Linked DNA regions of Cricetulus griseus. The protein of the gene in region 2 purifies or fractionates together with the protein of the main gene of each other region. This does not show direct contact. Links are inferred from orthologs where the notes say so. Each region holds a gene or a part of one and is shown on either strand. Other genes may lie near its edges. The genes, in order: Cd40 and Traf3ip2.

Region 1 (3,816 bases), on a different chromosome or scaffold from region 2:
AGAAAAGAGCTGGGGTTGAGCAGTTGGCTTTGGCCCCCAGAAGCTGAGGGGATAGCGACTCCCACTTGGACTGGCATCTTCCCTCTGGGTAACAGGAAGTGGGATCTTTTGCATTCTGGCCTTGGCTATGGGCAACTTCCTGGGGAAGGGGAAGGGGACTCCTGTTGGGTTGCAGTCTTCAGGGCCACCACTGCGCCGGGGCAAGGAGCTGAAGGCAGGCTCAGGCTGTGACACCGTGACTCACAGAGACTCTTGATGCATCCTCCCCACATGCTCCCAGCCACACGGACTGCCGATACGGTGTGTGAACCCTGCCCAGCCGGCTTCTTCTCCAGTGGGTCATCAGCTTTTGAACAATGTCATCCTTGGACCAGGTAGAAGGGTTGCCTCTCCTTAACCAAAAGTAGTGTGGGTCTTGTGGCAGTTTCTCCAGTCACCTGCTGTTCAGTGACTCACTCGCTTGTGAATGTGCCCTCATGGCTGGCCTAAGGGACACTTTCTGCACTTTTTTCTTGCCTGCTCTTGCTTAGTTAATAGAATCTGGGTCTCCCTCCCTTCCTGAAGTCTCTCATCTTGAGGCACCACAGCACCCCTTTCTCTCGATGAATGTTCCTTGTCAGTTCTTCCGCTTTCTGGGCGTGTAGGTGTATGCGCACACTTGTACATACGTGTATGTGTACACACTCTTGTGTATGCATATGCATGTGTGCACGTGTGTGTGTGTGTGTGTGTGTGTGTGTGTGTGTGTGTGTGTGTGTGTGAGATAGCAACTTGGGGCATTGTTCTTCAGGTACTATCCACCTTTTTCTTTTGTTTGAGGCAGTCTCTCACTGGCCCGGAACTTGCTAAGTAGACTAGGCTGCCTGGTCAGGGTTCCAGGGACCCTCTGCATCCTCTGCAGCACTGGGATTACAACCATATGTCCCCAAGCCTGGATTTCTTTTTTCTAATGTGGGTCCTAGGGATTAAACTCATGCTTACAGGGCAAGTAGTTTCCTGACTGGGTTATCTATCCCCCAGCCCTTCTTGACTCTTAGTTGACTTTCTGGTGCTTTGTTTGAGTCCTCTTCTCCACAGTTACTTTTCCCCCTCTCCTGGGCTGTCTTATCTACATCCGTGGTTCCATTTCCCCCTGGATCTGTGGTTTGGGCCCCAGATGGTCAAGTCTTGCTGCTGAATGTAGAGCTTCCCCAACACCTCAGTCTCTGTATAGCCAGAATGGGCACCCAGCCAAGCCCCAAGGGAAAGGCAGGTTCTGGTTTGAGGCAGTCACATAGAGCCGCACACCTTTGCCTTCACCTCTACCTCAGTCAGGTCTATAGTCTGCTATGAGCGTCTTGGGAATCCACCTCTTTACTCTCTAGTGTGGTCTCGTGGGCCTCATCACTGTAGTGTGGTGATGGCTTCGTCTCTTCACAGGCTCTTTACCTCTTGGCTGGTTCTGCATTGTATTGCCATTGTGACCTTCCATAGCCCTTTTTGGATCACAGTACTTTGTGGCTTACAGCACTCCATGGCTCTCTGCTGCCTCTGGGAAGAAGTCCTGGCTCTGGGGTGGGGCTGGGGTCCGGCACGATCCTCTAACTCTCCCCCCATATCTTGTACCCTGCATTTGTACCCCTGAGCACACTGTTTATTCTTTTGCTTCAAAGTCTCCTGCCTGGGAGAACCCTTAAGTACATGCCCCATTAACTCTTTACATTTATTGTTTTAAATGAACAAGCCCCTCCCCTCAGGCTGTTTTCCCAGTGCTCCTTTCCAGAGATTCTTCTAGTAAAGAAGAAACAAACACACACACACACACACACACACACACACAGACAGACACAGACACACACACACCTTATACAAGTTGTGACCTACCTTGTATAAGGGCTCTCTTTCCCCTCCCCAAAGGCTAACAATTGCTTGAATGGAGAGTTCAAGCCTCCCCCCTCCCATGAGTCTCTACTCTGTGTTTGGAATGGTGCCACCTGAGGCACTCATCAGTGTCCACTGGTGGGTATTAGCTGATCATGGAGGTTCCTGTACCGGAGTCAAATGTGCGCCCGCCACACTGCACCACTTAGCTGGTGTGTGCTGCTGTTTCAACTTTTGTACCTTTTGGGGCCCTTCTGATCTTCCTTTGTGGATCCCCTAATTTGTCTCAGGGACCCTCTGCTTCCTATCTGGAATGCCCCTCCCCTCTGGAGGCCTCAGCCGACTGTCCACTCTTCTGCAACGTCTCCTGCATGAGTGACCTGGGAGCAGTTCCTCTTTCTAGTTAGGTCATGAGGCTGGGTGCCAAGGACACTCCATCATCACAGGTGCCTCCTTGACTCTCCTGTCACACTGGTCCCACCTGGCTGGCTCCCTCTTTCACATCCTTCGATGTCTCCATGGAGAAGTCTCCCCCAAAGACCCTTAACCAGAGACCCTTAACAGGGACCAGTTTTGCTCTCTATGGGACCTTGGGCACATCTGGTCATCTTTCAGATGCCGTAATTGGTTAGAGTGCTGTTCCTGGCATTTAGCTGGTGGAGACAGAGGCGCTGTGAAATATTCTGGGACTTAGGATGTTTCCCAGCTCAAAATACCTGTGGGTGCCAAGATGCTCCACTGAGAACCAAACTCATCCCCTCTCATTCCAGCCGTGAGGCTCCTGCCTTTGAACAATGCCCTCTCTGTTTTAGCCCTTATCATCAAGCCCGGCCGGTATCATCCACACTCCTGGCTATCCCTCCTTCAATATAAGCAGTAATTTTTCCTTTCACTTGTGTGCATGTTCCCGCCCTTCCCATAATGACCAGCTCAGAATGCTGCACTGTAAGCCACATGCTCAGTGAACCTGGACTTGCCACTTGCTGCCTGGCTCCCCTGGGCTTGGAAGTCTTATGGTTGGGGAACCCTGTTCTCTCTCTCCCTCTCTACATGTGTGTGTGCATGCACATACATGTGTTCACATGTGTCTTTGTGCAGCTGCGAGGCCAAAAACATGGTGGTACAGCAGGAAGGGACGAATCGGACTGACGCTGTCTGTGGTGAGTCCAGGGGAGAACGGGTCCTGCCTAGTGTTTTAAAGAGGACACAGAGACGCATAGGCAAGAGGCAGTTTGGGGAATAGTACTTCAGCTTGTATCTTGGGAGCTGGATGAGTCACATCTGCTGTGTGAGCCTCAGTTTCTTCAACTGTGAAATGGGTTGGCAGCAGCACCTCCCTTACTTGTACTCCCTTACATGAGAGCATGTCTTGGAATTTTACTATTTTGAAACTGTGAGCACAGTTCTGTTGCCCCTCAATTGAGGTGTGGGTGCACTGTGACACTGTCACCTGTTAGCCTTGGTTTGGATGCTAGGATGAGAAGCTTGACAAGAGGCTTGGATCACGACCTCAGATTCAGGGACTAGGTTGTCACTGAATGAGTAAAGAGAGGGGTAAGAGAGCTGGGTCTGGGGAGTGGGCCTGTCAGCACAGCTACTTAGGAATCTGAGGCAAGAATTTTGCAAGTTCAAGCCTAGCCTGGGAAGTTTGGGAACACATTGTCTCAACATAGAAAGTAAAAAGAGGGCTACTGAGACGGCTCATTAAGCTAAGCTCTTGTGCAAGCCTGATGACCCAGGTTCCCACACTTGTCTGGCATGTGTGAGGTCCTGGGTTAGACCCACACACTAATCTAGCAGGTGTGAAGTCCTGGGTTAGACCCACACACTAGTGTATGTGAGGTCCTGGATTAGACCCCCACACAAGTCTAGCATGTGTGAGGTCCTAGGTTAGATCCCCAATGCCAAAAAGGGAAAGGAAAATAAAGATACAATCTCTTGGCTTTTTCTCGAGAT
Region 2 (3,816 bases):
ATGTTAGTCTATAGAGTTGTGAAGTTGAATTACATAAATTGTAGGCATCTTTTAAAAAAAATTATGTAATTCTATTTTTAGGAAGTATTATAGGAAACACATTAAAATAAAAACTACTAAACAATGCTAAGCCACCTCTTTATTCTTTAATTTGTAAGTGTTCCTCTCTAGCCTCCAACATCCATATTTCACCTATTTTTCACTCCACTCTGGAATTCACTGCTGCTGAATGCCTAGGAGAGGTTTCTGGGAAGAAAATAATCTTAATGTTTGAGGAAAGTCAGTCCATAGAGTGGCAACCTGTGGTATTTTGTTTATCCTAAGGAAGAATGTACATGTCTTTAACTTGTGTTGTTTCAGCGGTTGGCAGGGAGACAGAAAGACAATGTGCTTGAGAATTTTGGGTCCAAGATCACAATGGACCTACAGGGATGATGTAGGGCCATCTCCCCTAGATGGAAACTAGGCTGCGTCTTCCCTGTCCAGAATCTTCTCTCCGGAAACAAGGTATAGAAGGGCAGCTGTGTGCAGTGGGGGTTCAGGGTTCTACTTCAAACCTTATAATCCAGTACAGAGCAAAGAGTCTGGTTTGGAAAACAACAACAAAAAACCACCTTGGTGAGCTTGCATACCACAGGAGGTGGGTATGGCTGGTGAGAAAGGGCAAAGGCAGAGAGTGCAGCAAAAGCCAGGCCTTTCCTTCAGGACCAACAGTGGGAATTGGCACTACTATGGACATTTGGAGGAAAAATGTTGGAGACTTTGGGTAATTTAAAGTGTGGTGGAATACTTGTCTAGCATGAGTGAGGCCCTGGCCTTGACCAGCACCAAATAAATAGATAACCAGAAACAATTATCCAAACCCTTAAGCATTTAGCTCATCACCACATAAATTAATAAAACATCAACTTCATACTTTACCACCACCACCACCACCACCATCACTGTGTTCAACTGAATGGTTCAGTTTTCTCTTTGAATAAAATACTTACTGCAGTTTGGAAGCCATTCACCAACAAAAAGTTCACAAATTTCACCACCTCCATGGCTGTGTCCATAGAATAAGTGATAAAGACTTTCCCTAAGAGAGAAATTCCAGAGTTGTTGAAACAAATCAAGTTATTCTGTTACACATAGCACTTCTAAGGAGTATGCATTGGCCTTTGTGTTGGAGGGTGGTCTGAGGGTTTTTGCCTACAGTGGTGTGATTGCTGGCCTCTGTGACAAGGGCTGGGACCTGTCCAAGAAAGTGCAAACAATCCAGAGTGAACAGAAGACAGAAGGGACAGAGGAGAGTAATGGCAGGCTGAGACCAGCCTCACAGGTCTCCTGGAATGCCACATGAGATGTTAAAAAGTCTACCACCCACAGCCTGCAAGTCCTTTGAGCTCAAGCCATTGCCTTGTTTCTTAGAGACACTTGGCCCTATGCCCAAGGAAAATATTCTCACAGCAGGCTAAGAAGCTAGGGCTTGCTAAGAGGCCACCAGCAGTGTCTGCTTTTGATCTCATGATGCTCTCTGCTGCACTGAACTCTTGTCTAACAAGACAAAGTAGGGGTGAGTGAGAAAGTGTTTCCGTGCCCTCCCCCAGTCGACTCTTTTGGAGAAAGGTCAGGAAGTAGGAGCAGACTGATGCCCAGATCAGAAATGTGAGTGCAAGTTCAGCAGTTTAAAGGGGAGACAATGCCTCAGGGCAGTCCAGCATTGCAAGCTTCCTCTTTCCTCCCCAAGCAGCACGGAACCACAGACAGAACTGTTCTGACAAGCTTACCCTACCCAGCCATAACCGCTGCTTTCTCAGACTAAAGTATTGGGGAAATTACTTGACTAGCAGCTTAATGTGGTAGACAGATAATCTGTACACATTGCCTTTTAGTCTGGAATGAACAGTTTGATCTCAAGAAACCCTGAGGCAGAGGATAAAGAAGAGAAATGCAGAAGAGTAGTCTGTATGCATTCATCTGTGCTTGACTCTTCCTAACAGAAACACACCTCTCAGATGGAGTGTGTGTGTGGTGGGCTATGATGGTGGTAGTAACCCAATGGCCAGGCACATGGGCAGCACTGGATCCTTTGTCACCTCCATACATACTGGTTGTAGGACCCCTTTCCTAGATTATAAGACAGGCAGAACATTGGGACTGTAAGTCATGTGAGACCATGTCTGTCCACTCAGTTATTTCCCAGATTGAAATGTGAAAGATTTTGAGGTGCTCAGAAACAAAACTTTTTGCCTGAAAACCATGGTGCTCAACGTCACAGAAATCCTTTGGAGTTGTAAGTGACTCGAGTAGAGCGGCAACAAAAGCAGTTAGCCAAGCAAAGGTTTGGTTCTGAGTGTCCCAGATCTGGAAAGAGTGAACTTTTCTAGCAGAATACTTCATATAAGTAGTGACTGATTTCTGAAACTAAGAATGCTAGCTGGCCTTACTCTCAGAACATTTTGGTAATATTTTACCATTTCTGGATCTAGCATAATGTGGCAAACGAACCATCACCTGACATTGAACAGGATATTTCTTGAAATAAATAAAAGTCTTAGTTTGCATTGGGATATGAGCAATATGGGATTTTAGATTTTTTTTTTCTTTTTCCAAACAAGACCATTCACTCCTACAGAAAATGACCTTGTTCTTGATAGATTTATGGTGAAACACTAGGTTTCTACCGTGTTCCACACAAGCATCATCCAATCCATCCACCCAGGGGCACATCACAGAAGAGCATCATTTAGAAAAGGAAAGAAGTATTGCAGGGGCGGGGCGGGGTGTTGTTTTCTTTGTGTTGAGGAAAATCCAGTGGTAAGCAGTTTGGGAGCACTACTTGTGAGGTTAGGATTACTAAAAACATTTTAAATTGGCTGGGTATTTTTAAAGCAAAAAAGGAAAAGGTAAACTTTGCTATGTAAAATATAACTGAGATTATAGGTAAGTGACTAAGCCAAACATAAAACCTGACAAGATGAAACCACATTGCAAACAACTTACGTAATTCCTCTGGCAAATTGCTAGTTTTTAGAGTTCCTCGGACTAGGGGGTTGCTAGGGGGTCTAGGCACAGCAGCTGGGGATGGAGCCTGGGGGCCCTGTGGTCTCAGCTCTGCAGGATGTTCCAGGGACCCTTCGGGAGCTCCAGCTCCACTAGACGGTGGGTGATAGAGCTGGTCCCTGCAAGGGAATAAGTTTACAGCAAATTTTTATTTTCATTACAAAGGCAAAGTTTGGAGACAGAGCAAGACGTCCAGACTGGGGGACCATACCAACACATGGCTCCTCCCCTCTGCCTCCAGTTCTCTGACACAGAAGTGAGAGAGGAGTCCCATGGAGTTTCCTCTATAAATGAGTCAGCTGGCTGCCACATGTGAGGACCTGTGCTAGGGTCAAAAGAGGGAAGCAGGATTTGATTTCTCCATTCAAGGTCTATCTAATTGGGAAAATAAGTTCCATGTACGGGTCAGACTAGGTCACCAGCAAAACAAAATAATATGATGGGTGACAGAAGGCTGATATTAAAGGCATTCAAAGTAAAAAGACACAACCTTTCACGATAGATAACATTTGCTTATGTTTCAAAAGTGTTTTTTTTTTTTTAAAGTCATGTAGGTTTAAAAGTATTTCTTTTAAACTCTGTAAGTGAAAAATCTGACTGGTGCCATGGCTTCTTCATTATGATTTTGCTTCCAGCATTCCTGTGGGCATTGTACTGAGGGGAAACAATGGCATGTATGCCTCTGAGCTTTAGAAACCAAAGAAATGAAGTCTTGTTTCTATTTGGTTCCTATGGCAGATAGTCACAGGTATGTCTCTTCTGCAAAAG

Evidence for each region.
Region 1: the proteins of Traf3ip2 (region 2) and Cd40 purify together in Homo sapiens (affinity purification with western blotting, with the first as the bait; 3 studies listed by BioGRID). This does not show direct contact. The link is inferred for Cricetulus griseus from reciprocal best matches to the Homo sapiens genes TRAF3IP2 and CD40.

The regions. Positions count from the first base shown.
Region 1 is NC_048599.1:14,354,638-14,358,453, reverse strand, and holds part of Cd40 (tumor necrosis factor receptor superfamily member 5), read left to right. Parts: intron 1-280; coding exon 281-374; intron 375-2,958; coding exon 2,959-3,020; intron 3,021-3,816.
Region 2 is NC_048595.1:262,138,935-262,142,750, reverse strand, and holds part of Traf3ip2 (adapter protein CIKS), read right to left. Parts: intron 3,168-3,816; coding exon 2,989-3,167; intron 1,082-2,988; coding exon 993-1,081; intron 1-992. UniProt on the Homo sapiens protein: E3 ubiquitin ligase that catalyzes 'Lys-63'-linked polyubiquitination of target protein, enhancing protein-protein interaction and cell signaling. Transfers ubiquitin from E2 ubiquitin-conjugating enzyme UBE2V1-UBE2N to substrate protein.